2 linked regions of the Diceros bicornis minor genome follow. The protein of the gene in region 2 purifies or fractionates together with the protein of the main gene of each other region. This does not show direct contact. Links are inferred from orthologs where the notes say so. Each region holds a gene or a part of one and is shown on either strand. Other genes may lie near its edges.

Region 1 (15,902 bases), on a different chromosome or scaffold from region 2:
TTTCCTTGCCTTTAAAACAACATGATTGAACTGGATGTTTTCCATGATCTCTTTTAGCTCTAAAGCTCCGTGATTCTGTGATTCCATGAATAGTCCAGTTCAAAAGCAATTCACTGGTGTTCAGTGAGACTCCTGCTTGTCTCATTTGTATTTTTTGTGAAATAGTAGGAGACTGAATCTTTTAAATCAGTTTGTAGTATATTTGCTATTTTCTCTTTTATAATCATGGATGTATTATTTGGTCCTTCTTAGTCGCAAAATGTTTCTTCATTGTCACCTATAATACTCATCACTAACAATATCCTGAAGAAATAGATTTGACTCGCTTTCCCTAACTTATAGCTGGGAAACCAGGCTATTCCAGTGTCTTAATTTGGCTTTCTTAAGGTCACGGTCACTCCCTGCCAAGGAAGGATTGGGACCTATACTTCTGAAATTTCTAATCTTGGTCTGTATTTGGTTACTCATTCTTTCATCTGGTGATTCTAAGGGTCAGCAAACTATAGCTTGTGGGTTAAATCTAGCTTGCTACTCATTTATGTATGGCCCGTAAACTAAGAATGGGTATAACATTGTTAAATGGTTGGAACAAAAAAAATTTTTTTTTTTTTAAAAGCAAGCTATTCTTTTTTTTTTTTTTATTTTTTTTTTTATTATTTTTTTTTGTGAGGAAGATCAGCCCTGAGCTAACATCCATGCTAATCCTCCTCTTTTTACTGAGGAAGACCAGCTCTGAGCTAACATCTATCGCCAGTCCTCCTCCTTTTTTTCCCCAAAGCCCCAGTAGATAGTTGTATGTCATACTTGCACATTGTTCTAGTTGCTGTATGTGGGACGCGGCCTCAGCGTGGCCAGAGAAGTGGTGCGTCGGTGCGCACCCGGGATCCGAACCTGGGCCGCCAGTAGCGGAGCGCGCGCACTTAACCGCTAAGCCACGGGGCCGGCCCAGGAACAAAAATTTTAAAAATACTTTGTGACACCTGAAAATTATGTGAAGTTCAAATTTTGGTGTCCATAAATAAAGATTTTTGGAAGACAGCCACCACACTCATTCATTTGTGTATTGTCTATGGCTGGTTTCCTGCCACAACAGCAGGGTTGAGTAGGTGCAACAGAGCCTGTATGGTCCATAGAGCCTAAAAGCCCATTATAGAAAAAGTCTGCCAACCTCCAGGTTAGTCTGTGCTAAAGTAATAGTTAAACAAGGAGGCCATTAGACTGAGGTGTCTCTAATGCCTTGATAGCCTATGTAAGAAATCAAAACCTAAGTGGGAGTCAGTGCACTGGAATCCTAGAAAGTGAAACTCAAGAACAACCAATCACAAATAGCCAACCAGGCTTTCCCAAATAAAGCAACTTAAGCTATAACAAATCAAATAATTTCTTTGCTTTGTTTCCAAGTCTTCTCTATAAAAACCTTGCCCCCAGCTCCTGTCTGTGGAACATTCCTAACAACTCTTGGTTTGGTACTGCCCAATTGAAATAGATGTTTGCTCAAATAAACTCTTGAAAATTTTAAGGTGCTCCAGTTTATCTTTTAACATGTGTCAAGCTGTATTGATTGCTTACTATTGCTAGACGCTCTACAGATCACAGGGAACAGAGCAGTGAACAAGACACACGAGTTCTCTGGGCTCAAGGAGCTGTTTCTAAACTATCGAATAAAAACCAAAACAAACAATAAACAAAGTTAGGGGGACACAGTACTTCCAAATTTTAATTTTGCCAAAAGATATTTTAAAAAAATACAGCTACTATCGTCATCTATTATACATATTTTTTTTTTTTGCAGGGGAAGATTTCCCCTAAGCTAACATCTGTTGCCAATCTTCCTCCTTTTTCTTCCTTTTTCCACCACAAAGCCCCAGTACATAGTTGTGTATAGTTGTAAATTCTTCTAGTTCTGCTTTGTGAGCTGCTGCCGCAGCATGGCTACTGACAGACAAGGGGTATGGTTCTGCACCTGGGAACTGAACCGGGCTGCCGAAACGGAGCACGCCCAACTTTAACCACTAGGCCATCAGGGCTTGCTCTCTTCATTTATTATCATCTTACTTTTAAAAAGGAGTATGTTAATACAAAAAAAAGAGTATATTCATACCAAATTTGTAGGAAGGACATAATTTCAAAATAAAAAGCACTCCTTCAAATGGGATACATGTTGCTTCATGAAAAACTCATTATGTTGTCATCATTTTTCTCATTTTGTGAGAAATCAGAGAAAACTTCTTCCTGGACTGGCCCAGGTCCTCAGATTAGCTTTGGGAAGCACAGAGGTAGTTCACATGGTTACTTTTCAGGCAAAACAACCTTTAAAAAGTGTCTAGTTTTCAAATTGGAAAATGTTAGTATTTTAGTGATGGAACACTTTAGTTTGAGAGTATTAGAGCCACTAGTTTTGTAAGTCAAATTTTTCTATAAATGAGTGTTGGGTAGTAGAAATACAATGATGGGAAATTCCAGAGAAGAAATACAAAGGGAAGTGTGCAAGTAAATAAAAGAAATCCACCAACATCCACTGTAGCCCCACAGACATTGCATCCCTTTGCCCTGTGTTTAGATCCATCTTAGTACTGATTTTTCATACTGGCTTATCCCTAGAAGAAAGTGATAGTGGATAATTTTTCTGCTGAAATAGTGTCCTCCTCTACCCCTGCCATGCCACCTTCAATAGACACAGGCGTCCACTAAAAACCATAGCATCACCTCAAAATCAGAGCCATCTAAAGGAATATGAATTCCCATGGAAGGAAAGCCCACCCATTCAAAAGGATTTGAAGTTGGATAGTGATTGTTTTCCAGTTGCCTTAGAAAATTTTTTAATTCCTCATGACAAACTTTCTATTTTGCAACAACTGAAATGGCAACCAAAAGACTAGAAATTACCCCTTTCTCCTGTGTGTCTCTACTCCTGCTGTCTATGGTATTGTTCATTTCCCGAACATGTTTCATAGAGCATTAACTATGTGGGATGTATGTTGGGGGAAAAACAGGATTCTGTGCTCAATGAAATAGGAGAAATACTGAGTTAAGCAAACTCTTATGGGATTATTTACTGCAGGACTCCTCAGGACCTCTAATACACTAATTGCATTTAAAGCATACACCACGTATAAGAAGATCCAGAGGCAAGAAAGAGAGCAAGGTGCAGAGGACTGCCTTAGTTTAGGTTACTTTATGTAAGTAAGTGAATTTATTTGGTCATTTTAGCAGCAACAATTGTAAGAAATAGACCAATTATTTTCATTGACGCAGATAATCCTGGGTCTCTATTGAAATGATCTTCAACAATTTTCTGGTTTCATCTCAGCCTTTGAACAGGTTTATTTTTATTGATGAATTATCCTTTTTCTTAAATATCTTTCCTCATTTAATACACATCTCTGCCCTGTAAATGCAGATATTATCTTTACTCTAAATGTTTAAGAAACCATCCTTAAAACTAATGATTATTATTTTCTGTTTTGGTAACTATCTAAGGACCATGTATTAGTGCAGATGACCAAAATTCAGGAGGAAGTGAAAAATAAGGTTTTGTGGTTAGTGTATTATAACAGTTAGGGTCGTGTTTGGCTTTGAGTAACAGAAAACCCCACTAATGGGGCTTAAATAGGTTGTGTTTTTTCCCCTTCATGTAATGAGTGGTTGGGAGGTGGGCACTCTGGGGCTGGGTGTTGTGGTTCATGGATGTCACCAATGCACCTGGTTCTCTCTGTCTTCCCATCCAACAATCTTTAGCATGTGGCATTCATTCTCCTAGTTGCAAGATGGCTGCTGCTCCTCCGTGCATTATATCCACATTCTAGGCAAAAAGAATAGGGAAGAAAGGTGGGCAAAAGGTATGTGTCAGCTGTCCTTTTATAAAAAAACCAAAACCTTTCCAAAACCCCGCCCAGTAGATTTCCAATTATATCTCAATGGCCAGAAAAGTGACACATGGCCACCACCAGCTGTGTGGAAGCCTGAGGAACTGAATTCTTTCGCTGGGCACTTGGGGTTCTACTAGTAACATAGCCTAAGTTTGGAACTAGATTACCAGTTAGAATCTCAGCTCTGCTACTCAGTGGTTATGTGACTTTAGGTGATTCATTTTCAGTTTCCTCCCCTATAAAATAGAGATAAGATAATAATAGGGTTGTTAAGAGATTAATTGAGTTAATAGTTGTAAAGTGTTTAGAAGAGTGTCTGGTACATAGTAATTGTTATATGAGTACTTTCTCAATAAATCAGTAAGGAAGAGGGGAGAATGGATATTGGGTGGAAAAGTAGCACGCATGAAACAAAATCATAAGAAATGGCAATAAAAATATTGCTAACATATAAATCAGACTTGTGTAGTACAAGAAATATGTTTCATTAATTTCTTGAGCCAAAGAATGTTAATTAAGTGCTGCCACTTCCCTTAAAGAACCACAAGCCACTGGCTTTATAAAGATGGATTACTCTTTCTTCTTTTGAGGAAAATAGGATTTCATGTCTGCTTCAGTCAATTGCTTCTACACAAATTGTAGGGTCTGGGATTTAAAGCCAAAACAAATTAGAGGCTTATATAATTATTGATATATTTGAGACATACCAGCAAAAGGTCCTGGAAAAACACATACACTTCAGAATGAGATACCTCCTCTTCTATTCATGTGTGCCCTTATTCCATTTTTAGGTGTTTGGTTATTATTATTAATTTTTTTAGATATATCGAATGTCTTTCTTATAGACATCTTACATGGAGACAGTTATTTAAGACAGATAGATTTGAATTCTAAGCCTATTTCCACCACTAGCTATGTGAACTTAAGCACTTACTTATCTGAGCCTTAGTTGCCTTATCTGTAAAATGGGGATGGTAACAGTACCTACTCCCAGGATTCTACTAAAGGTTAGGTGAGGAAAGACAATAATGTGCTTAGCACAGATCCTACTACACAGCAAAAGCTTAATAAATATCATCATTAACACCACCACCATCATCATTATTTTTTAAGATCAACTTGATTGAGGTGTAATTTATATACAATAAAATGCACCTATGAGCTTTAACAAATGTCAACACCTGTGTAACATCACCACCATTGAGATATAGAACATTTCCATCACCCCAAAATCATTATTTTCAAATGGGAAAACTGATGTCTTATCCAGTAATAATACAAAGGAGAAGTCACTGTGTAAAGAAACATATGGTATCAACTGCAAAAAAGAATAGAGAAGTGCTAAGCAGAATTACAAAATCATGGGAATGTAGCAGAAGGAACATTCATTCTGAGGGGGTTGGGGGACTGGTCAGGTGAACTGCATATTATTGCTTCTCCTATTTAGCAGCAATTCCCTCTTTTCCTGTTAACAGCACTTTGCTTGTCCTTTGGGGGAACAACTCCTCCCCAATGTTTTATGTTGTGGGGGGTCAGAATTGGCTACCTCAAAATGTTTCTTTACCTTGATTATTTTCAAGAACAAAAGACTCTGAAAGAAACTTTGACCTCCCCTTCACTAACTGCCTAAAAGAATTTAAGATAGAAGGCCTGTCCCCAGGACAGGCCATCACCATAGATAACTCTGGGTATGGATAGACTGGAAGGGTCCTTGCTAAGCCTATTCTTATCAAAACTCTGAAAACCAATTAAAAGTGGAAGTTACCCCTTGTAAGAGACGTTTACACTTATAAGGGAAATCTCCATTTGTAAAGGTATCTCCCTCTCTGTACCAGGAAGAAGGGGGGATGACCTTATCTTTAGAAACTCTTATCAATGTGGAAGACAAGGACTTAAATCTGCATACCCTTGTTTACTGTGCTTTTCTGGTAATCTCCCATAGCTGACTCCTCCCACCCCCAACATCCTCCTTTGTCTTTACCTGAATATGTTATTTAAGATTAGAACCTCCGCCATTTTGTCGAGTTACCCAGTGTTTTCTTGGGTCTCTCCCATGTATACATGTTATAAAGCTTTGTTTGATTTTCTCTTGCTATTCAGTTTCATGTCAATTTAATTTGTAGCCCATCCAGAAAGGACCCAGAGTGGGTGGAGGATAGTCTTCCTCCCCTTCGATGTGTTAGGAGTGGGGTTGTTTCACCTCTGGCTTCAGTCTTGTAATTTCTGCTGGAATTCTTGAAAAGAAAACTCTCTTACTGCTAACATTGCTGGATGTAAGTTTGGAGAAGCAGAGAGAACCACTGAGAAGGAAGGCTCCACAAAGGAAGGTCAGCTGGGGGAAGAGAGAGAGAGATATTGTACTGATGTCACCATCTAAATCCCCAGATGCTGCCCTGAAAGCTCCATCTATCCCTGGTCTTCAGTTACATGGCTACGAACCTTCCTCATGTTCTCCAGCTTGTGTTCAGTAAACATGAGTGAGCAGCCCATGCCTGCCTCTGAGAGTGCTTTCCCATTTTCTACAAATGGGCGGTAATTGTATGGCAGATGTAGAGTTAATTGGACAATTGAAGTCAGAAACAATACGGATTTAAATACATTGATACTAAAAATGGAAGTATTTGGACTAATTGTTTGGCTGATTTGAAGGAATTCAGACATTCATCCAAAGAATTTAGGTCAAATCATTTTGCCTAAATTATTTCTATATTTCATATGAAAGTGATTTCTGGGCCTTAACTGTTCACTTCTATTTGCATTCATAGCCACCACCTATGTTGTCACATGAAATCACTGTTTCTTCCTTATTAAACATGTTTCTCTCCCGCTGGCATCGTGCACCTTTGAAGTATCCATTGCTGTTCTAAGTGCTGGGGCTGTTGCAGTGGACAACACAAATCTCTGCCTCATGGAGCTTATTCTCTAGGAGGAGAGAGACAACTGCACCTCCATGTGCCAGTTTCTGCGCTCAATACTACTGCATTCTGATTCTCTTTTTCTGAGAATATTGCCGGAAGTGTGGGAAGTCTTTGTGGAAATTCTGGTTTAAATTCATAAGAAATTTACGTTATCCACACACTTACATATTTGTCTGAAAACAGGCATGTTAGGTATATGTTTGTGTATATGTATGTGCCACACACATTTCTCAGTTAAGTAACCTGCTTCAAGTTACAACTCTGGGCCTCAATTTCTCATCTGAAAATTGGGGCTTGTCATAATACCAATCTTACCTTGTAGGGATTATATGCATGTAAATAATTTAGCATGGTGTCTGGCACAAACTAAGAGCTTAAATGATAGCTCATATATCATTATTATTAATACATATATATTACTTTATATGCGTTTGCCCAATATTCCTCAACAGGAGGAAATAAATAATTGTGGACCTCATTTTGTTTAATTGATTTAACATTTATGGAATAGTTTACCATGTGCTAGGCTCACTGTGGCAGATTGTTTTTTTCAGGGATGGCTACAACAATATCTCCCTTTCTTGTCACTTCCCCATCTAAAGGTACAGTCTAATTCCCCTCTCCTTGAATCTGGGTGGGCTTGTGACTTGTTTGTAGATAATGAAGGTGGTAGAAGTGTGTGACTTCCAAGGCCAGACCATAAAAGGTGGTGCAGCTTTCCTCCCATGAGCTGGAACGTTCACACTGGAGTCCTGAGGCCGCCATGCAGTGGGGAAGCCCAAACTAGGCCACATGGAGAGACCACATGGAGCAGCCCTGAGCCTACTGGAAGAGAAGGAGATGCTTGGCTAGCCACCGAGGCCCTAGCTTCTGTCACCATCTGACTCCAAACACATTAGAGACCCGAAGCTAGTACCACCTAGCTAAGCTCTCCTCCAAATTCCTGACCCACGGAGATCATGAGAGAAAATAAAATGATTGTTGTTTTAAACCATTAAGTTTTGGTGTGACTTGTTTGTATCAATAGAGAACTAGAACACCTACCTTTAAGTGCTCAAGATATAGCATTAAACAGATTTACTTTCATGGAGTTTCCATTCCAGATCTTTCTCATCTTTGGCAAATGAGGAACGACTATTTCAGGGTTTTAATTATCTGTCAGCTGTTTGGGCCTGCTATCAAGTCTAAATTTGTAGATACAGCTAGCAACTCATTCATTCATTTCTTCATGTAATAAACCAGTCAGTTAAATTCTCAACATAGATGCCTTCTCTGGCCCCCTGAGCTGGCAATCTGTTCTCCATGTTCCCACGCACTCAGGCCTTCTTCTATCCTACCTTACTGTGCAGCATTGCTATTGCTTGTTGCTCTGTCTCTCCCACTGACCATCAGCAGTCAAGTTCATTCTGTGTTATTCATTTTTTTTTTAAACTTGCAGTTATAAGACAAATAGGTTTTATTTTATTATTATTATTTTTTAATTTTTATTTATTTTTCTCCCAAAGCCCCAGTAGATAGTTGTATGTCACAGTTGCACACCCTTCTAGTTGCTGTATGTGGGACTCGGCCTCAGCATGGCCAGAGAAGCGGTGCGTCGGTGCGCACCCGGGATCCGAACCTGGGCTGCTAGCAGCGGAGTGCCGGCACTTAACCACTAAGCCACGGGGCCGGCTCTGTTATTCATCTTTGTATCCCTAGCATCTAGCCTGTTGCCTGCACATAGCAGACCTATTTAAAAAACAAACAAAACAAACAAAAAAACACTCAACTGAAGGAGGGCTGCTAGTTCCTGGACATACAAATAATTTATTCAAGGACAGTCCCTATCCTCTGGGAATCCATAATTCAGACTAGACACTGTGGGATCCAGCCTGACAAGTGCAGTGAGCGGGCTGCCTGAATTGATTCCTGTAGTGAAACGGGGACAACAGGGCAATGCATTGCGGGTGGGAGGTGGAGAGGGACCAGGGAAAGGATCCATTCATTTATTTTACAAATGTTTATCAATTACCGTAGCACACGTAGCACATGGGAAGCGTTCAATGCTATCTGTTATTAAATGCCAGCCACTGTTCTAGGTCCTGGGGGAGCAGCAGCGCACAAAACTGCGGTGGCCCGGGCCCTGGAGAGGTTCACCGCCCAGCGAAGGACGACAGGCAGTGGACGTAATTATGTAAAATTGTGCTGTTTGCTGAGCAGGAAAACAACAGGCGGCTGAAATTCTCGTAAGGATGTTAGATCCTTCGGCTGGGGGCAGCCGTGGGCGGGTTTTGAGCAGGAGTGGCCGCCAGGGGGACGGACTGTAGGGGGCGGGAAGACTGCAGGCAAGAAAAGCTGGTAATTTTAAGATGCAAATATTTTCTGCCAGACTGGAAGAAGGAGCGTGTGCCTAGGGGCGACGTGGTCGCTCGGTGCACTTGGGGTTCTCCCGGGGCAGGGCGCTGCATTTTGAGTGCAAGCTCGATTGCTCAGCAGTGCGAGGCGGGCTGAAGAGAACTGCAGCCCTAATTCCCAGTTTTTTCATGCTCAGCACATCTAGGCTCCTCCGCTCCCCAGACTTGCAGACGGACCATCTCGGGCTCGGATCCGGACCGCAGCAGGCGGGCAAGATCCGGGGTGGCGGGGGCCCATGCACCGCAGCGCTCACCCCCAGGGCTCGGGGTCTGCAACACCGCGCGGGCGGGACGGGGCGGAGCCTGTGCTGCGGTCCTAGGCGGTGGCGTGGGTGCCGCCCCTGCCCCAGGCCCCGCCTCCAGACCCCGCTGATTGGGTCAAGGCCGCGGAAGGGCCGGGCGTCCCTGGGAGGCCGGAGGGTCGGGCTGAGGTGGGCGCGCTGATTGGTCCGGGCGGGATTAGGTCATCGCTAGCAGGTTCGGGCGGCCCGGACGCCGGCGGGGCGGCCGAGGCTGCTGTGAGAGGGCGCTCGAGGCTGCTGGAGAGCGAACAGGCGAAGGAGGCGGGGAGGCGGCGGCCGCGCTCGCTCGCTTCCCGGCGCCGCTGCGGGTCCGCCGCTGCGCTTCCTACTCGCCTGCCGCTCCGCTGCTCGCCGCCGGAGCAGCCGCCCAGCGGCCGGGTCCCGGCTCGGTTCGGAGTCTTCCGCGTCCGCCGACTCTGAGCGGAGGGCGAGCCGGCGCCACACCTGTGGAGCCGGCGGCCGTCGGGGGTGCCGGCCGAAGTCCCGCCGCGTGCGTGCTCGGGACTGCAGGCCGGCCGGGCCCCGGGCTAGGCGCACCCCCTGGCTGGGCGCCGCGGGCACCATGGGGCTCCCCGCACTAGAATTCAGCGACTGCTGCCTCGACAGCCCGCACTTCCGAGAGACTCTCAAGTCGCACGAAGCGGAGCTGGACAAGACCAACAAATTCATCAAGGAGCTCATCAAGGACGGGAAGTCACTCATCAGCGCGCTCAAGAGTGAGTGTCCGCGAGCCCGGCGGGGACGGGGCCCGGGGTGGGAGGGGCCGTCGGGCGGCGCTCAGCCCGGGGCGTCCGAGCGCCCGGCTGGATTTTTGCCCCCGGGGCGCTGAGGACGGGTGTAGGTGCTTGTAATGAGGGGGGAAGGGCACATAAAATAGGCGAGCCAGCAACAATCCGAGGAGGAAGGAGACCCGTCGCCCAGCCGCTTGCGTTCTGGGATGGCCCGGAGGTGACCGAGCGCGAGCCGTGCTCTGGGGCACCGCGGTGGGTGTGAGCGGCACACAGGTGTCCCGGGAGTGGAACTGTAGTGCCTGGCGCGCCGCAGACTGTTGGGAAACCCCATCGCGTCCACGACTCAGGCTCCCTTGGGGAAGAGTTGCTCACTCCTGGGTGCCCAACCGTGGGAATGGAGCGTGCCCTGCCAAGGGGGCGCTGCCTCCCCTCGGGAAAAGGCGGGTTGTGACTGCTACGTTCTCTGCACGCAGCTCCAGCCTGCTCAAGGCCGCCGGGTTCTCCGAAAGGCACGGGCGCTGCCCAGAGCAGGGCTGGGTGGCAGGTTTGGTTAGCTTGCGAATCTTTGGAGTGTTGGCAGCCCGTAACCCCCAAATCCAGAATCAAGGCCGTGTACGTGTGCAGGTTCCGATTCCTGTGTTTAGCAGAAGGTGATAGGGGTGGGAGTACAGAATCAGAGTGTTCCTTTACTCTAAACTGTGGGCGAGGGTTTAAAAATAGAATGAACATATCCTGACTCTCCCTCTCCCTCGCGCTCCTTTTTACCTCTCCCATTATCCTTGAAAACTCAGAGGTCTGAGAAGGAATGGCCTCCATCCTCTCTCAGAAAGGAAAAGTTTAAACTCATCCTTAAAGATTCTCGAACGTTTGGTAAAACCGTTTTTGCTTATTTCCTTTTGGTAGGGGAGAATTGAAATTTGCATTGTGTGTGTGATTTTTCCCTTGACATTTGCAGAGCCAGAGAGTTTCTCCTTCTGCCAAACAAGAGAGCTCTAGGGATGAGCGCTTGGGTTGTTGAGATCGGTTTTGGTGCCTTTTCAGTCTACCCATATACAAATAGTTCAGTCCATCTTTTAGTTTTGAAAATCAGGAATAACATAAAGACAAACAGTGGAATTGTCTTTACTTTTCCTGTCTCTGTGATGGATTTCTTAATAGGTGACATCTTTCAGCTAAGAAAGGTTGCTTTGGCAGAGTGGGGGCCTAGCTCTGAGAATTGTCCCCAGGCCTCCTTAAAGGAGACTTATAGAAGTCAAGTGCCTGAGATGTCATTTTGTGAGCCTGTTGCTTCTAAAAACGAAACGGGAGACAATGGAACCCTACTGCAGCAAGTGTCAGTCTTTTCGGGTGAAATAAATAAATATGGGACTGTGATGCGATGAGGCTTCTCAGAGGCAGGGTCTCTGCTGCAGACTGTGGCCTGAAGCATATGAACAGACTTCCTTTGTCAGTGACCGGGGCCATCCTTGGTTCAAGAACACATGATCCTTGGTTTGGAGTCAGTTAGGGGCCCACTTATTGGTTGGGCCCATGAATTTTGATTGAGTCTCAGGCCGGCTTTAATTGGGCCGCTGCTTTATTCAACAAACGTTTGGAGTGCCTGCTGTGTGCTGGGGCCTGCCCTGGGCACCGAGATGTAGCAGTGAATATTCTGCTGCCCCTGTGGCCACAGAGACTAACTCCATGCCAGGCACTGCTTCACCCATGAATTATCTCATGTGATGTTATTCATTTTACAAATGAGAAAAGAGGCTTGGGGGAATAACTAGCCCAGAGCCACACATCTCTAGCATCAGGGCTTAGTTTTGAACTCCTGCATGGTCTGAGCCAGAGATGGGGTTCCTGTTGATGCAGAGCTCTCAATCCTGCCCCATCCTGCTTGACTGGAATGGACCCCTGGACCAAGCCTGTTGGAATTTGGACTTGTCTTGAATTTGGCTTGAATCTGAGGAGAATGCATTTGTGCAACTAGCAATTTATTTGCCTGCTACTATTTTGGGGCCGGGGTCAGAATCCTTTGAGTAGGAGGAAACCATGCAGTGATGGGGTTTTAGAGTTATTTAAGTTGTCTAATGGAATGGACCAGCCTTATAACTGGGGGAAAGACTGATGGGGAACTAGGTGTTCTAATCTCTGTATATCCAGCTGTGCTATGAACTAGACTCTTCTACTACTACAACCACTTGAACAGGTCATGTGACCTCTCAAAATAAAGAGGGTGGAGGCTGTCGGTATTTCCCAGGCTTAAGGCTTTCGGTTCTCATTAGGTGCTTGCTACATTGTATATTACTATATTAGTATTTGTGTATTATTTTTCTTTGGATTATCTTTATCACTACTGTAAATGTAAAGCCAGTGTTTTTAAAAATAAATACATAAAAACTATTAGTTACTTAAATAACTATTTGAGTAACACTGGTTTAGATGTTTTACAGTCTCTTCCAGCTCTAAAATTTTATGGTTTTATTTTGCAATTCGTATTCACAGATCTTTGGGTTTAGATGTTTTGTGTGTGTTAATCGGAGGCAATAAAGCTGGCCTCCCGGGATTGCCAGTGGTTAACTAGATCACTGTTATTGCTACTTCCACTTTATGAATAAGGAAACTGAAGATCAGAGAGATCAGAAACCTGCTGAAGGCGACAGCGATGAAGTGTATTTAAACCCAAGTTGTCTGATTCCAAAGCCTGTGCACTTAACCCTGAAGCAAAACTATTGTCTAAGTCACTTGTCTCTTGAATCTCCTTGAGAATCTGATAAACAAATGAACCCCTTGAAGTCTTTCCCTGGAGTCCAAACCTCTGATGTGGACCAATAGAAGATAAGCAATAAAATAATTTGGGACCTACATTTCAAAAAATCCTGCTTTTGCAGAAAGTTCTTGTTTGATGTGTAGGAGCCTTGGTGACTCCCAGTTGCTTTTTTCTGTGCTGATTTGTCCCGGCATTTTCTGTGGGCTCTCATTTGCCCAGAACCCTTTCCTTGACCTGATTGATCAGAGTCTCAGTCAAGATGACTCCGTGTGTTTAAGTTTCTTTTTTTTCTGTAGAGATAGTAGAGGCTGGAGATGAAGTCCAGACTTGTAGAATGAAGGGTTTTAAGATTTCTTGGGTTTGCGTCTTCACCCCATCACTTGCGGGTTGACTGTGGGCACGTCACTAAGCCTGAGGTCCTCCTGTGTAAAATGGAAATAGCCACACTGACGTCCTACGATTGTGTGAGTACTAAATGAAACAGTGCATGTGAAGAAAGTGCTTAGCTTGGAGCCTGGCCCATAAGAACTGCTCAATTAATGGTAGTTGTAATCATCTTCCAGCATTCAGGGTTGTCAAGACTCAGAGCAAAAGTCACTTAAGAGCAGAGGGACATTTTTTGGTTTGCGTGCAGGGAGTTAGGCCCATGCCTCCATCATGCCAGTTGTTGGTAACTTACACAGTTATGTATGTATGCTGGGAAGAATCCTGGTAACCTGGTTTGCGTAAAGTCATGGTTATGCCAGAAAAGCCACACAAGTTAAAAAGAAAAAAAATAAGTAAATCTCCCAACATTTTTTCTGTTCCTAATAACATTCTGGTAAACTTAAATTTTCTTTCTTCTTGCTGAATTAATCTCCCTGCTCAGTGGCTGGGCTGGCTGCCTCTCTCTACCTTGCAGGAAAAGCTTGCAGAGAGCCTTGGACTTCATGTCTGGCTGTCTCATGGACTCAATGGCAAACCAAATGTGGTTTTGTAGAAATGAAATTGAATCAGGCTGTTGGTTTTGAGGGGTGGTGTGGGTTTTCAGGAACTGTGTTTCTTTCCATCTTGATACTTGGTTTATGGACTCGTTGCTGGGGATATGCCCCTTTAAATTTGACTTGGGCTTTCTGAGATAGAGTGAGTACCCTTATTTTGATAGTCTAAGGTTGGAGGGGTGGGGTAGAAATGCACATTTTACAATATCATCTTTATTGAGATATAATTCACCTTACCATACAGTTTACCCATGTAAAGCATTCAATTAGTGGTTTTTTGTACATTCCCAGAGCTGTGCAACCATCACCACAATCAATCTTAGAATATTTTCATCACCCCCAAAAGAAACCCCGTTCCCATTAGCAGTCATTTTCCGTTTTCTCTCAACTTCCCTCCTACCCCCCAGCCCTATTCAACCACTAATGTATTTTCTATCTCTAGAGATTTGCCAATTCTGGACATCAGAAGTGCAGTTTTAATAGTTTTCTTTTAGATAGTGGTGACCAACTTTAGGCATAGAGTTCTTGATTGGAATTTCAGGTGCGGAAATTTTGATCCATAAGCTGCTCTCCTTCAGGAGGGTTTAAGTAGAGATGAGGTCCCAAAGAGTGAACCGTGTCGCAGGGCCAGGAGGAACTTGGGTGCCTTTGTGTTTCCAACCCGCGGAGGGGAATGGGATCATTCTAGTTCTTGGTACTTTGATAGATGCAGAGGAGATTTACCAAAACATGACTAAGAATCCAGCCCCTCTGTCAGTGAGCTTTCAGCCAAGTTGGGGCAGGGTGTGTGATACTGAATAAAACCTTACTCTGTGGTCGATATCCTGCTGGGTGACACTTTTTTTTTTTTTTTTTACAAAATGAAGTGAATGTATTTATATTTCTCTAGTTGAGCTTGTAGTTGGCATGAAACTTTTTGGAGATGGCACGCCTTTTTCATTGCATTCTCGGTGGTAGTAATTCTGAGATCTCTGACCTGCATCATATCTCCAAGGCAACCACAGTGAATTTTAGCAGAAAGGAGTAGTCTGATGCCAGCAGCTTTTGTTATTGAGCACTTGCCAAGTGCCTGGTCCTATGCTAAGTGCACACATTGTCTCATTAGTCCTTACCACCATCCTGTGAGATAAATACTCTTATTTTTCTGCATTTTATAGTTGGTACCCCAACTTGTCTAAGGTCACACAGCCTGGAAGTTGTGCAGCCAAGTTTTGAACCTGGCAATGGACTGCAGGGCCTTCTCTTGAACATGACCCCTCAGTGCTTCAGTAAATGCACTGGCAGTGAAGATGCAAATTCTTCATAGATCTAGACCTTAGAAAGGAGAAACATGCAACAGGTGCTGGATTAAGTGAGAATATTGTCCCAGTTGTTTTTCAGACTCTGAGTCCTGGGTAGCAAAGAATAGCTAAGAAAGCTATTGTGCTTTGAAGTTTTGCGTTTCTCTCTCCATCATAGGATTAAAGAGCCATTGTAAGCTAGAGGGGCAAATGAGGGCGTCTATCTCTTGGCTTTGTAAAGCACTAGAGTTTCTCTTTGGGGTAGCACTGAGTGGTCACCAATGATTCTCTTTTTTATATTTTTAAAAAATGCATACTTTTATAGCATTAATTTCTTTTTTTATTTAATTTTTTATTGAGATATAATTGACATATAACATTATATTACTTTCAGGTGTACATAATAGTGATTTGATATTTATATATTTGTGAATTGATCACCACAATAAGTCAAGTTAACATCCATCACCACACAGTTACAAATTTTTTTTCTTGTGATGAGAACTTTTAAGATTTACTCTCTTAGCAACTTTCAAATATACACTATAGTCTTATTAACTATAGTCACCATGCTGTATATTACATCCCCAGGACTTATTTTATAACTGGAAATGATTCTCTTTTAACTGGGTAATAAAGCATCAAAGAGGGAGGCCAAAAACCTGTTCCTGGGTCTG
Region 2 (15,473 bases):
GCTAATGTGCTGGGGCCTGCCCGCCCCTTCCACTGTGCCCTCCTCAGCCCACTACCTTCCCGAAGTGTCCCCGGCCCAGCACAGCCAAGCAGCGGAAGTCCTGAAGCCGAGGGGGCTTCCTGCAAGAGAAAGGGCACAGGAAGCCCCCTGGACAAAGGCTGGGCCTCCACCAAGAGCCGCTCCAAACCTCCACGCCCAGTCCTAGGCTGTCCCCACCTAAGGGGCAGGAGGGAGAGGGGGTAGAGAGCCTGCTGGGGGCTCCTAGGATGGTAGCTGCCCGGAGTCTGGCATACGGCTGGAGCTCAGTAATGTGGGTCCAGTGAGTAAGAACCCGAGAGCGAGCCAGTGAATATGCCAAGGAGCTGCGGGGCGATGTATGAATGGACATGTAGACCCTCAAGTGAGTGGACGAATGTCTCAGACATGAAGGTGACCTTAAGGGGGTACCTGGTGGCTGAGGCTGCTGGAGATGGCCCAAGTCGAGTCCTGGGCTCCACGTGGGGGCGTTTGATTTGCTGTGAGGGCAGAGGGGCTCATGGCAGAGTGGGGCTTCCTTCCCTCTTTCCTTCCAGCCCTGCCACCCCACCCCGGCAGCCCCCAGGGCTACCAGCCCCCTCACCGGCCTCTCCTCAGGGGTTGGCTCCGGGGGCAGGTATAGGCGCGGGGGCTTGGGCGGGGGCCTCATCTCTTCTCCCAAGGGGGTCTTCTTGGGTGGGAAGTTACTGTGGGGAGGAAGCAGACACATGGCAGGGGAACAGGCAGATGGAATAGCTGGGGGGGCGGACACACAGCCATGCTGAGACAGACGTCACAGAGTGAGCAACGGGGACAGAAAGATAAGACACCGGACCGGCCCCGTGGCTTAGCGGTTAAGTGCGCGTGCTCCGCTACCGGCAGCCCGGGTTCGGATCCTGGGTGCGCACCAACGTACTGCTTCTCTGGCCATGCTGAGGCGGCGTCCCATATACAGCAACTAGAAGGATGTGCAGCTATGACATACAACTATCTACTGGGGCTTTAGGGGGAAAAAGGAGGAGGATTGGCAATAGATGTTAGCTCAGAGCTGGTCTTCCTCAGCAAAAAAAGAGGAGGATTAGCATGGATGTTAGCTCAGGGCTGATCTTCTTCACAAAAAAAAAAAAAGAAAGAAAGATAGACACCGACTGCCCCTGGAGAGAAGCGGACGCCTCAGAGAAGCAGGCAGCCTGGGGCAGGTGGCTCCTCACCTGGGTGAGGCAGGGGTGGCGGTCCCCCGGAGTGTGGCCGGGGTCTGGGGGCACACTTTGGGGGGGCTGATCGTGCTTGGGGAGCTGCAGGGCGGCAGCAGGCTCATGACCAAGCGCCCCCAGGCTGCCATGCTGAGGTTCATCTGGGAAGCCCTCAGAAAGTCCTGACCTGGGGGCAAAAGGGAGGCTCAGTCCAGGACCCCATGACAGGCCCTGCCCTGCTCCCTACGCACACAGTCCTCTCCTCTCCACACCTCTGCGTTTTGAGAAAATGCGTTTCTGCCTCTGCAGCCGGGGCCTCCTCTCAATGACGGGGTCACAGAAGGTCACCTGTGGGAGCAGGGGGCAGGGCTGAAGACCCTCCTACCCCATCTGCCATTGGCACCGCCCCTGCCTCCAGGATCCCAGCCTGAGCCTCCAGTGTCAATAGATGCAAGAGCCAGAAGGACCCAGAAAGATGGATTCAACATCCTCATTGGTACCAATGGGGAAACTGAGGCCCAAAGAAGAGAGGCACTTGTCCAGGGTCACACATGAGGCAGTGCAGAGTCAGGACAAGGACGCAGGCCTCTAGACTCCTGTAAAGGACTGGGAATCCTGCATTCCTGGAGACCTCCTCCCTCCAGGCCTCAATTTCCACTTCTGTGCACAGGGGGGTCGCACCGTCTTGAAGGCCCTTCCAGCCATCAAGCTCCGATGGAGCCAGGGGCCTGTGAGGTCAGAAGGCAGGGGCCAATGGGCACCTGGGCAAAGAGCAGGCCCTGTGGCACCAGGCTGAGGGACAGCTGGTGACAGGCATTGTCCAGGAAGTCCTCCAGCCGCAGGAAGGCCACGCCGCACAGCTGCCGCCAGTCCCGCCAGTGTACCCCAATCTCCAGCTCTCGGGCCTACATCAGGGAGGCCAGGTTGAGGGGTGGGGCACAGCACCAGCCCCTACCTGGCTGGCCTTCCACCCCGTGGCCCAGGATGGCCCGTGATGGCACAAGGGCCAGCCTCACCCGCTCCAGGGGGACGATAAAGGTCTGGTCCCAGGACTGCTTGGCCACCAGCCCCCAGCCCGTCTGGCCCACGACACGATTGTCCACCTTCAGCACGGCCAGCACCTCGCCTGCAGCGCCAGAGCCAGGGCTCAGGGCAGGCTGTGAGTGGGTGTCCTTTGCTGCCCCCCAGCTCCCTGTGCCCCCTACTCACTGGCCAGCTCGCCTCCACCACGCTGCTGCTTGGCCCTGCCCCGAAGCCAGCTCTGGGGGGCGCTCCCGGCCAGCGCGGCCGCCGGGGAACGTCCAGGCACGGCTGACAGCAGCTGCTCACAGCCCAGGAGGCGGACCTGCAGCGTCCCTGTGGAGGAGCATGAGGAAGGACTTAGTGCCATCCTCCCACTGCCACCACCAACGGGCCCCTGGGACCCCAAAATGCTCTCCTTTCCTGGAGGCGGCTAAACCCACACCCTGCCCACGTCAGGCCTTGGCAGCCACCTGCCACCCTCCAGACAGACCAACTGGCCCTCCCCTCCTGAGGACTCTCTTGTTGGGGAAAGGAGGGGGACACACAGACAGAGGAGCGAGACTCAGATCTCAGCCAGGCCTCACGGAGCCACAGGCCCTGACGACATGCTGCACAGGGCTCAGGGCGAGGCAGGGAGGAGAGCTCGGGGAGCAGAAAGCCTGGCTGCCTGTCTTGTCTCCCATCCTCCTTGGGCCTCAGTTTCCCCATCTATACAGTGGAAATGAGTGCCAGCTCTGCCCCACCTCCCACAAAGCATATTTTGCCAACAAAGTGGATTCATTTTTAAGGTCATTAGAGTTTTGTCCCTCAAACGGTAGAGGAAGCAGTGGGACTCTAGCCCTAAGAGCACCATTTAGGGAGTCTGGGCCTGGGGCTTGTAAACAAAGGCAGTGCTCAGAGTTGGAAGATCATCTTAAGAAGAACAACTCGAGGAACTGGGGGGTTTAGCCAGGAGACAGGATTCGGGTGGCCCTGAGTAACTGAATTCTAGGCCTTTTAACGAACCATTCCCCTTGCCTTCCCCAACTTGTCTACTTTGCTAACTCCCATAAGCCCTTCAAGGCCAACCTCAGATACCACCTCCTCCAGGAAGCATTCCTTAATTCCCCAAGGCCAGGTGAGGGGGCCCATCCAGCCCCTGTACTTCCCCTTTTTAGCTCTGCTCACAGTGGGATGTGGCCTGTCTACCCCTGCACCATTACTGAGTGGGCAGGCGCTGGGCTCTCTAGTTGGCATGGTCTCCCAGGTGGGAAGCTCAGGGCTTCCAAAGTCGACACACTCAGATTATCTGTTGATTGCAATTCGGCTGCCGCTACAAGGAGACAGATTCAGCTCAAGATAAGAAAGACCTTTCTAACAGTCTAAGCCGCCCAGGACTGGGTACTAAGGCCTCCAGGGCTGTGAGCTCCCTAACACTGGCACTTGAAGCATTATCATGGGTACTCATTTAAATAATAGCTTCATTGATCGTGAGCTGACTGTGCCGACTCTGTGTTTAGCACTTCACATTCAACAACTCACTGAATTTTCACAGCAACCCTATGACGTAGGTGCTGTTATCATCCCCGTTATATAGATGGATAAACTGTGGTTCAAAGAGGGGATGTCAGTTGCCCAAGGTCACACAGCTGGGGAGGGGGCCAGGATTGGAACCCTTCTCCAAAGTTCTTCCGCACTGTGTTTCAGGGTCCTCTCGCAAAGGGAAGGGGAGCTCTGAAGTGGGAGGGACTCCCAGCTACCTGTCATGGCAGTGGGCTTCACAAGGGTCCCTGAAGGCTGGGGGTTCCCAGACACAGCAGTCCGCAGCTCCCGGGCCACTCTGCCCCGCAGAGGGTGGGCAGGGGGCAGTCTCTCCAGCAGCTGCTCCAAGGCCAGCCGCAGGAGGTCCAGTTTCTGGGAGGACTCCTGGAGCTGGGCCTGAGCCTGCAGAGGGGACACAGGCAGTGGGTAGTGGCCCAGGGAAGATTGGGGCGGGGGGCCACCTGGAGACAGCCCTCCCGTGAGGTCTAAACAGAATGTGCCTCCTCTTTGCCATCCCACACAGCCAGCCCAGGCGTGCCCCCTGCCGCTGCAGAGGCTCATATGAGAACAAGCAGACCCTCAGAGAGGAGCAGCCATGGGCGGGGCCAGGGTCTGACCTCGGCCAGCGCCTTGCGGTCCTGCGCGCGCCGGCTACCCAGCAGCTTCACCACGTTCTTGGCACCCTCGGCCACAGCAGCCTCGACGTGCAGTCGATGCCTCAGCTCCTCTGCCAGCAGCTCAGGACCTGAGAGGAGGGGGTCAGCCCTCAGGCCCATGCCCTGCTTTGCCCTGCCCATCCCCACTTCTCAAGGCCTCACCTGGTTCAGGGGACCCACTGGCCTCCAGGCTGCTGATCTTCATTCGCAGCAGGGCCACCTTCAGCTGGCTATCCCGCAGCATCTGCTGGGCAGCTGCCAGGAGCTTCCTCTCCTATGGGGTCATGACATAGGCCCCATCAGACCAGGGCTAGCCTCCCCTATCAGACCAGGGTTAAAGCCAAGCCTCCTTTGTTAGACTAGGTCCAGGGCAGAGCCTCCTCCATCAGACCAGACACGGCCTGAGGTCAAGCCTCCCCCATCAGATCAGGGCCGAGCTCCCCACGTCATGCTGGGAGTTGGGCCGGGGGCTGGGATTCTCCCATTAGACCGGTGTGGTGCCCTCTCTGTTAGACTAGGGGTTCGAGCCACGCCTTCCCCACCAAGCTGGGGTCGGGGGCTCACCCAGCAGACTAAGCGGTAGGACTGTGTCTCCCTTACAGAGTCACAGCTAGGTTAAAGGTCCCTGTCAGAATGGGGGCTGGAGCAGCGCCGGTCTCTCCACCAGCCCCGGGAGCCTCACCTTGGGCGTGCCACTGGCGCACGTGCGGGTCATGTTCTCGGCCCCCTGCTTCACCTTCAGTTCCACCTGCAGCTGCCTCCTCAGGGCCTCCAGGAGCCCGGCCCTCGGCTGCTCTGCCGGTGGCCGGGGTCCTGAGGCCACAGGTTCTGTGCGCATGGAGCGTGGGACACATGAACCCCTCACCAGAGCCGAGAGCCCCCTGTGGCCTAGCTCTCTCTTCCCTGCCCCTCCTGGGCAGGGGCGACCTGAGGCCCTGGGGGTGCGGATCTGAGAATGGCCAAGGTCAAGGCCGGGGAGCTGGGTCGGCAGCGCCTCCCGCCCCGAGGCGTCTGCTCTGACTCCTCACTCACCAGCCAGGCCGGGCGAGGGGCTGGGCAGCAGAATGCGGGCGTGCAGCTCCCGCAGCTCCCCGTGCAGCTGCTCCAGACGGCGGTTGGAGGACCGCAGCAGCTGCTGCACGTGGCCCAAGTGGCGGCGGTCGGTGGCCACCCGCCTCAGGTTCTCCACACCCTCCTTGATTTTCAGCTCCTTCTGGATGGCCCGGCGGATCACCTCTTTCTCATCCTCTGGGGGCCGCTGGCCCGCCCCAGGCTGTGGAACGGCAGAGGAGTCATGCCACTCGGTCCCCCGCCACTGCCCTAAGCTCCCCACAGGTGGAGGGGGAGGAACGGCACCCAGGACTGACCCGCAGGGTTGGGAAGCATCTCTGACCTCAGAGCTAGGACCCCTAAGCCACATGTAAACCCTAAGGCTATTTCTCCAGCCCACGCTCCTGTCCTCTGCCATTAGAGAAGGGTCAGGGGAAAAACTGTTACGTTTATATGGTGTGACTGGGTGCCAGGTTCTGTTCTAAGAGCTTTGCATACATTAACTCATCAGTCTCCACAACAACCCTACGAGGCAGGTGAGGCAGGTGCAGGCATTATCCCCATTTTATGGATGAGGAAACTGAGACACAGAGAGGTCAAGGAATTTGCCCAAGGCCGCAACACGGAGAGGGAGACACCACCATCTCTCAGGCCCTAGCCTCTGCCTGCCAGCCACGCTTAACCAGGCTGCTCTTAGGCTGGGATTCAGGCTAAGACTCAGGACCAGAAAAGGGCTAGAGATTCACCCAAGGTCACACAGAGAGGGCAGCCGGAGGCCCAAGCAGAGGCCAGGGCTGTCCCCTGAAGTCCCAGTGTCTCAGGTGGCAGAGCAGAGGCACAGAGAGGGGATTTGAGGAGGTCTTGGGGACCCACTCCCAGCTCAGCTCCTGGGAGGAAGTGGAGGCTTTCTCATTGCTTCACCCCAGGTTGGAGCAAGGAAGAGGAAAACCTCCTTCCAAGAGGCCAACATTTCAAACCAACCGGGGCCAAAGCTGACCTCAGCCCAGGGTAACCCACAATGCCCCCCACACAGGGACTCTGGCAGGGCCTCCACCTTACCTCTCCGCCATCCATCTCCGGAGCCCAGTGGAAGGGGTGGCTACCCGAGCCTCAGGGACCCCCTACCCCATGCCTCCACTGGCCTGCTGGCCGGTCCTTGGGAGGCCAGGGGCAGGGGCGGGGCTCAGGAAATCCTTTGAGGGCCCTAGGCCAGAGGGCCAGAGCCAAAGGCCCTAGCAAACAAAGATCCCACAGAGCTGGGGGCCCGGCCACCGGGGTCCTGAGTCACCCAGCCGCCGCTGCTGGGCGGAGGTTCACAGGAAATCGGAAAATGTGTACAAGCCACTGCTGGAACAGGCGGAGGGGCCTCCGGAGGAAGGCGGTGGGAGGGGGCAGACGTAGCCCCGAAGGCTGCCCAAGCCTGGGGTGGGGGCACTCAAGGAGTCTTGTGGAGGACGCCTCACCCTCAAGCATAGCCCACGGTCCTGTCTGCTTGGCGCTGGAGCCCCGCCATGTGCACACACCCCTCTCCATTTCTGCTCTGCGGCCGGGACCCTATCTTGTACACAAATGCCCACGCCCTCGTTTGCTCTGGGCTAGAACTCCACCTCTCCCTCCCCAATAACAGACAAGCGCACAGCCTTGGCCCCTGCGCCCATGCGCACCTATTGCCAGCTCTGGCAGGAACCCCGCCCCTCGCCATGTGGGCCGGAACCCTGTGTACCCGAAGGTTCCCGCCGGGGCGCTGGGCTAGGCCCCTCCCCTTGGCGTGCACACTCCCCGGTGCCCGAGTGCTGGGGAAGGACCCCCCAGGTGCGCGAAGACGGGCCCCTCCCGGAACCCCTTCTGCCTGCGCACACATTCTTCTCCCCCGAGGACGCCTCCCCAGGTGCCCGCACGGTAGACTCCTACCTGGAAGAATCGATTTTGGGAAACTTTGGGGCCCACCCCGGTGGCCCTCACTGCGGATTCGGACGTGCTCATGGACTGGCCTGACTGGAGGTTCTGAGTCACTCGGGGGTGATTTGGGGACGTTTCCAGGGGGCACGAACGACTTACCCCCAAAGCGCAGGTCTGCACTGCGAACGTGTAGGGGGGCCCGGGGCAGGGGCTGGGAGGGGATACGGGGAGTGGTTGGGGGTGCGGATCTCGAGGGCGGGGTTGAGGACGCGGCGGGAGCTCGGGGCGCCCGGGGCGGTGAATGAGGCTTCCCCGCCCCCCTCGGCCCGCGCCCACAGCCCGGCCTCTCCGGGCGCGGTTCACCTGCCGCGGCGCCCCCTCCTCCATGGCGCCGCTCCGGCCGCTCGGCCCCTCCTCTCCACCGCGCAGGTTCCGGAAGCCCCGGCTCCTCCGCCAGGACTTTCAAACTTGAAACTTCCCGGGAAGCGGCGGCGGAGCCGCGGGATCGGGCGCCCCCTCCCGAGGTCCGCTGGTCCTCCTGGACCTGGGACCAGCGCCGCCTCTCGGCCGCGCCGGATCGCGCCCCGGACCCCACTCCCGTCCCCGAGGCCCCAGCGCCTCCCCCAGACCCGATGTTCCGCGGGATTTGGGGCCAAGCGCCCCCTCTTCTGAGGCCGTAGTTCCCGCTCCATGCGACACTGACCCCCGCCGCGGCATAGGAGGGCAGGAAGGGACATTTCCCGGGCGGGGTGCTCTAGTTGCCCCGCCGCGCGCCCAGTGGAGCGCGCCCGGATGGGGACAGCGCCGCCTGCCGGCCGCGGGGCGCTGCCTGTGTGGCCGGTCCGCTCCTAGGAACCCCGCCACCGCCTGGCTCCTGCTACTGTCTCCGTTTTGAATGTCGTTGGTGTAAAATGGGCTAATCCCAAACCTGTCGCCCCAACGGACTGGTTAGCCCTGTCTAGAGTCAATATAAGAATGTATACGTCTGAAAAAAGTAAAACCTCACCCAAATTAAGCCAAATTACAAGTCACAGATGAATAAACCAAACGTCTCTCAGTCCCCCATCACTTGACCAGACTTGAGCTTTCTGGTTCAGCCAGTTGCACCTTTGTCCTAAAAAGCGCATTTAAACAGAAGACGCATTTACAGCTTGAGACATAGCCAGTCTCAGAAAGCATCCAGCCCGCACTAGGCGAACTGGCAGTGGCTTGCGTGTGTAGGGGATCCGGGTTCTTTACTGCCTAGTCTGGGGCTGTTTAGCCACTTCCTGGCATGGTGTGCTCACCAGCACTTGGTGCCAGGCTTCATGGAAAGAGCCTGGCCCAAGGGGCCAGAAGTGAGTAAGGGTCAAATATTGAATGTGGCTTATTTGCTGACTTGGCATGGGCGCCGTCCAGTGCTTTTACTGAAGGAAATCATGTCAGTTTCACTTTGCCTGGACCACCTTCCTCACGATGGACTGGCAAGTGAAATTGGCAAGCCGTCGACAGTCCTGGGTTGTCTTGCACTGGGAAATCAACCAAGTGGCATCAACAAAGGCAAAGGCAACTTAGTTCCCTGGGGGACATGCCTACACCCATCATCAGAGGCTAGTGACACTTTTACACATAGAGTTGTTGAGGGCTAGACATTAACACATAGTAGGCTTTTCTAAACTGGGGTTATTATCAAGCTGCCCTGAACTGAATGTTAATTAACCATAATTTAGAAGTAAAAAGACTATCAGTTTCTTTTTTTTTTTTTTTTTGTGAGGAAGGTCAGCCCTGAGCTAACATCCATGCTAATCCTCCTCTTTTTGCTGAGGAAGACCGGCTCTGAGCTAACATCTGTTGCCAATCCTCCTCCTTTTTTTTCCCCAAAGCCCCAGTAGATAGTTGTATGTCATAGTTGCACATCCTTCTAGTTGCTGTATGTGGGATGTGGCCTCAGCATTGCTGGAGAAGCGGTGTCGGTGTGCGCCCGGGGTCCGAGCCTGGACCGCCAGTAGCGGAGCACGCGCTTAACCGCTAAGCCACAGGGCCGGCCCAAGACTATCAGTTTCTGACTGCAGGTTATAGGTTTGAGGAAAAAACGATGAATCAAACTAGCAAAGTTCCCCCTTTCATGAGGGTGTCTATGTCCCATCTTGAGGATCATTTATCCACTGCGACAGCCAGAAAGCTGAATTAAGCTGAATTATGTGGAAGAACTCGAAATGATTTCCCAAGTTTGCTGTGAAGTGTCTCACTGCCTCACCTGTCACTCAGGGAAAGGAGTTGAGAAGTAGCAGAATCCATCCATCTTCCCTAATGAACCCCAGGCTGGACAAACCTACAGGGAAACCAAGTCCTGGGCTGATGGATGGGTCTGACCAGATAGCTGCGTCTTATGTCTGATGGTGATGGTACTTCGTTAAACTGCAATTCTTACGTGAAACTGAAGTTCACGTTCAACATCCAGTGGATAGTGAATAGTGCAAACCAATTCCACAGGTAATTGGCTGTTGAACTTGCATCAACATCAACTTGAAAGGAACCTAAAACTTCCTAGCAGGGTACATAGGAAATATTCTTCCCTTTCTATACACTTTTTCTTCTCAATATTGCAAATCTCAATCCATCTACATTTCCATTTGCCTCTCTTGGGTAATATCTGAGTACACAAGGTCACCAACTAATCACACAGGCACACACCCTCCACTTTTAAAGTCCTCTGTATTCTTGTTCTAATCACAAAACTGCAGTCCTTTCCCTCAGACTCGTTAAAAAGCAAACTTGTAAGTCTTCATAAACACAGCTGCATATTCAAATGGGAATGGTCACTGCTGGGGTGGGGATAGACTTTTCAAAAGGCTAAGATGTTGTCCTCTTTAAACAACTGAAATGGCTATTCATTCATCTCCTAGAGAACTTGTCTCAATCTTCAGGAAATCCCGAGTCTTCACTTTTTGCAATAGAATTCCATTCTTGGCAATAGCCATAAAGAGTTCATAGCAAAATCTAACAAAAAAGAAAAACTGTTTCTGGGACTAAGTGAAGCCATGAAACCAGTTGTATTATAAAGCAATAATGATAAAGATTACCAAATTAATCCAGAAACAATTGTCTAGGAATCCTCTGAATCCTCTAAAAGGCCCCCAAAATCCATCAAGAGTCAAAACCTCATAGCTTTTAGCAGCCAAACAGCTGATACAAGTGAAGTAAGCCAGAGGTAAAGCAAATGTCAGCCGACAAGATACCTGGGTTCTCTGTGGACCATTTAAACTCTACACTTTAGAGCCAGAGTTGGGTGAAACAGTTAAGGGCTTGTCACGGAGGTCAGGCAGTAAGGTTAAGTCTTTTAGAAATCAGGACATCACTGGAGACAAGTAACTTCAACTGCAGGGATGGTCTAAAATAGAATATTCCTTAAGGTTTTGAAATTAAATGTAGCGACAACCTACTGTCCTCTGTGGCTCACTTCATGGAAGTTATTAAGTGCCCCTCACAAGGCAAGTATGGCACAGCTTTGGAAGATGTCCTCCCTCTTCCTAGAGAAACTCCCCAAACAGCCACTATCTGCTCTCTTTTTAAATGTCCTTGTACCAAAGGAGCTTTGAGCCATTCATCTGGCACTTCCCAATACACACTTGCCTAAGGGCCAGCCCAAGAACTCCTCTTGCAATTGGGCACAGAGCACATCAGCCCCTCTGTAGCCCATCTCCAGCACACTAAGGGCCCACTTTGCTTTCTCACAGCCTGGCACTCCAGAAGATTTGCAGGCACAGGGGGATCTAAAGGTAATCTCAATAGTTGGGAGGAAATTACCTTTAGGGGTTCCTAGTTTTTTTTACCACTCCCCAAAACAAAGAAATATTATAAAATTTGGTTAAATGTGACCTATAACCTAACAGTACTACAATCTCACCAGCACATAAAAACCAGTTTGGGTAAGCTGTAACTTTATGAAACAAAAATCACAGGCTTACTTAATATTAATTCAAGTGACTACTGGTTTTTTCTCCTAGTGAAAAGTCCTTTAAATGTTGAGACTTCAAAATCAGAACACTCAATCCCTTCAGGAACTTACTACATTCCAAGTAACATAGGGATTTGTCCATGACTTTCATACATACCTTTCCGTGTAGATGTTACCTATGCTATACTTACTGCTAAACTATTGGAAGAGCAGTTTACCCCCGCTCCCAATCATTATGCACACAAACAACACAAAACAAAACACAAAAATACTAGCTTATCATCTAAATTCAAAAGTAACATTTCTCTACAAAACAAGGAGAATGACCCCAGTCAAAAAAAATCTTTATGTTCCTTTATTGGAGCAAGATTCCTGACCGGTATACAGTGATGTATTTACTAAACAGAGACCTGTGCAGAAATTACAGACTACCCATCTAGACAGGTTTTCGTCACATTGCCTATTGATGGAATAGTTCCATTTATAAAGTTTTATACATCAAAAAGCTTTGAATTTGACCAGGCTGTCCATTAATTCATCTCTGAAAAAGTGGCATTTAACTTTAGCTACTATATTTTACAGCATTAAAAAGCTTACGCATTAGGTAGCTTCTCAAAATGTTATTCTATGCACAATGGCATTTAGCAGACAGAGCAGAGTCCACTGTCACACCCAGATTCACACAGATGGGTCTCATTTCAGCTATATGCTAAATAGCCGGTACTTGGAGACAAAAGTACTCCTAACCTGAGTTTCTTACCACCAATACGGACTTCTTACTCTGAGAGCCTGTCTCCTCGGCCACGTTTTACAGTGCCAATGAAGACATGCCAGCAGTTGCCCCGTGTGTAACTTGGCATTAGAGCACCAGGTCTGTCTGATGGTGGCGGCAGGCACTATTACTATATCCAGGTAAATAAAGGCCCATTTTTTAAAATGCCAATTAGAGATACAAATCGAGAGTACAACATACTCAAAACTGAGTTTTGAGCAATCTGGTATCCCAAATGATGTGAAAATTTTCAGAAACTGATGACAGATTGTACCCATGATATTTCCCAACTATGGAGACATTAACACATTGATTCAAATCCCTTTACTCAATCCACATAGCCCTGAGGTCATCCTGCAAAGTGCGTATCAAAAAATACGGAGTTAGGGTGACAAAGTTTGACAACATGTTATACAAGTCAAACTTGGAAAGTCATATTAAGTATATCCATTCTGAGAGAAAAGCATCAAATCCTTTGTGTACACATTTAGTTTTATTGTAACAAAGCAACTTGTACACTTTTAACGTTTAAAACTCAGCATCATCTTTCCTTTCCAGTGAAACAAAAAGAAAATTTAAAAATAAACAGGAACAAAATTACAATAGAGAATGTCAATTCCAAATAATCCTACAGGTTCTGCTGATTCTCCCATTGAGTGGCAGGGCTCAAGTCATCATTAGGAGAGAATTTTATTTTAAAAGTGTCATCTTAAACTGCAAGGATGTCCGTTAAACATCACAATTAAACATGCCAAAGGAGAAGCCATGTTGTCAAAATGCCCACTTAACCCACCCACACATCTCAAACCCACCCTTTGCTGACCTTCTATAACCCCATTTTTTTAAGTTTTTTTTTCTTTTTTTAAACAAGAGAAAGTAGACAGATACATGTTGGTAAATGCTAACTGTCCATATTCACATAGAGACACAGTGTAATCTCTGAGCCCAATATACAGAGAAAGGAGGAAAAAAGCTAGAATTCTATGCACTACTACACAGGGGCCTAGCACCCTCCAGCTTCCAGCAGAGCTAAGGGAGCAGAAGGTTTTTCTTTTTTCCCACAGAGCACGGTGGTGTTGATTCCATAAAGTTTTTGTTGAGACAGGAAGGGATAAAAATGAATTTGGAACAGAAAGGGGTAGAGATTCTTTTCCCACTGTATTCTGCTCACAGCATTTCCCCCCAAAATATGTTGAGAACCATGGTATAAAGGAGAGAAAAGAGACCTCAAAAACAGGGCGACTGAGCACAAGAGGGGAAAGGAAAAAAAAAAAAAAAAAAAAAGACTGCGACTTGCTCCCAGGGACTGGAGAAAATGAAAAAAGGAAGGTTGGAATCCATCAGTGTTCCATTAGTCATCTTCTCCTTCATCCTCCTGCAAAAGAAAAAGTGGGCAGTTAATCTTTAGGTTAATTCTAAGGTCATTCCCCAACATTCCTACGGACTACGACAGACTCCACAGAACACAGCAACACGCTACGGAGACGTCTAATCTTATGAACATACACATCAATCTGCATCCAATCTCGACTGCAAGACTCAGTGATCTTGTTTCAGATAAATTAACTTTTCCACACTAACCAAATCATCGGACATCTTTCAGACCAAATAATCCAACCAAAAACAAATCTATCCCCCTCTGACTGTAAGAATTTTATAGTTTGTCCACAACAGGCAAATTTTTATTTGGGAGATTTCCTCAGAATCTGACCAGCTGCACAGTCCATATCACTTTCATTAAGTACTGGCTAGGGAAGGACAGGATTGAATAGTCATAAAAACTATTCAAAAGGAAAACTAGTTGAATGGTTGATGCAATGAACTTATCAAAATTTCCTTCAATATTGGACAACAAAAGAGCTTATCTTTTCTACAAATCCACACACACACAATTAGTTGAGTTAGTTCCATTATACAATATATATAAGCTCAAAAGTAACATGCTGAATTCTTTACGTATTTTCTTTTTGGACTTAACCAAATTTTCTTTTACCTCTCCTTCCTCCCCCTCATCATCATCTTCATCTTCTTCACCTTCATCCTCATCCCCTTCTTCATCAATATCTTCTAATCCTTCTTCTTCTTCATCATCATCATCATCTTCTTCTCCTTCTCCTTCTTCATCATCCATGTCAGGAACCTTAAAGAAACAAGTTACTGTAAAAACCCATTTTCAAACAAATGAGACAAGTGTACCCTTGAATAAAACAACCTTCTCAACTCACCAAGTAGTACTGTAATGGATTTGGCCAAATATCATCTTTGATGACCTCTCCTAACTCATCTGCACCTGCATCAGAATGGTCAGTAAACCAGGTAAAGAAGCTCTCCGGTTCCTCATGCTGCCTCTTCCTGCTGGCTTTATTCTGCGTTTGACTCGAACGTTTCGTCAAATCCTAAATGGATGGAAAAACTTTGGATATACGCTCTTTACAACACCTAAATTCCCTATAATTTAAACAATTAAGAGTTTAACCCAAAAGCATAAGAAAAAAATGGACATCAGTACATTATCTATCCTACTATTCTTATCTAAAAGAAATTATAAATCGTCCAGCAGGTAAAGAGAAAGAAGTCCTAGAGTTCTAGGTCTGCAAAAACTGGTGTCAAATTTGTATGACAAGCTTTTCCCAAAAAAGTACCATCTAAATCTGGCTTTTTCATAAAATTAGTTCCACTTTAAGAACCATTATCATAACATAATATGATAATTTAAAATACATGTATTAATTAAATGCAGACATAAATGGATTTTGGGAAGTGGCCGGCCATTTGAAGAGCTCAGTCACCAACGCAGAAAACCAAAAAATGTAGTCCATTTTTTCAAAAACTTGCACTATAATTTATAATGAGATCCAAGCTATTGTATTTGACTTGAACACACCAGAGTTTTTTATTTTAAGGACCTGCATTTAACACATTACCAAAGCACCAGTATTGGTAAATGGTTCAACTAAACCAAAACATACAAAATGATATTTTTACCCAACAATTCCTGAAATACCTTTCCAGATTTCCATTTGATTTCAGTGGACTTTGAAGACGGATCACCACTCTCATTCAGATGAAATTCTTTGGAGAGAACTTTATTTTCGAAGTAAGGGTTTTCATCAAAATACTATAATAAAGGATTAGAGGATTAGAAATGAACACAAACAGCTCCTCTAACCAACCTCAAGTTAATTTCCACAGTGGCAAACAAGATGAGTTACTGATACTTACAAAATCTATTCTGTAACCTGATTTAATATCTTCAAATTCTGTCACTTCAACTCTTGTCAAATAATGCAGCGCCTCTTCATCTTCCTCCCCAAGCAGTGCGGACACTAGACCAGCAAATTGCAGGTCAAATATTCAACAGACAAGTATTAACAAGCAACTTAAGTGACACCTTTTACAATTTACCA

Evidence for each region.
Region 1: the proteins of PKN3 (region 2) and ARHGAP26 purify together in Homo sapiens (affinity purification with mass spectrometry; 3 studies listed by BioGRID and IntAct, with this or other methods). This does not show direct contact. The link is inferred for Diceros bicornis minor from reciprocal best matches to the Homo sapiens genes PKN3 and ARHGAP26.

The regions. Positions count from the first base shown.
Region 1 is NC_080740.1:60,734,679-60,750,580, forward strand, and holds the start of ARHGAP26 (rho GTPase-activating protein 26), read left to right. Parts: upstream 1-9,680; 5' UTR 9,681-10,044; coding exon 10,045-10,198; intron 10,199-15,902. UniProt on the Homo sapiens protein: GTPase-activating protein for RHOA and CDC42. Facilitates mitochondrial quality control by promoting Parkin-mediated recruitment of autophagosomes to damaged mitochondria.
Region 2 is NC_080767.1:36,478,270-36,493,742, reverse strand, and holds the start of PKN3 (serine/threonine-protein kinase N3), read right to left. Parts: upstream 8,134-15,473; 5' UTR 8,095-8,133; coding exon 7,721-8,094; intron 7,569-7,720; coding exon 7,370-7,568; exon of another isoform or gene 6,533-7,369; coding exon of another isoform or gene 6,518-6,532; intron 5,682-6,517; coding exon 5,441-5,681; intron 5,237-5,440; coding exon 5,091-5,236; intron 4,683-5,090; coding exon 4,571-4,682; intron 4,498-4,570; coding exon 4,370-4,497; intron 4,155-4,369; coding exon 3,971-4,154; intron 2,565-3,970; coding exon 2,418-2,564; intron 2,335-2,417; coding exon 2,225-2,334; intron 2,114-2,224; coding exon 1,970-2,113; intron 1,557-1,969; coding exon 1,481-1,556; intron 1,396-1,480; coding exon 1,227-1,395; intron 723-1,226; coding exon 620-722; intron 516-619; coding exon 448-515; intron 120-447; coding exon 56-119; intron 1-55. Other genes in the region: protein SET, read right to left, coding at 13,418-13,441, 14,060-14,206, 14,292-14,462, 15,071-15,184, 15,289-15,392.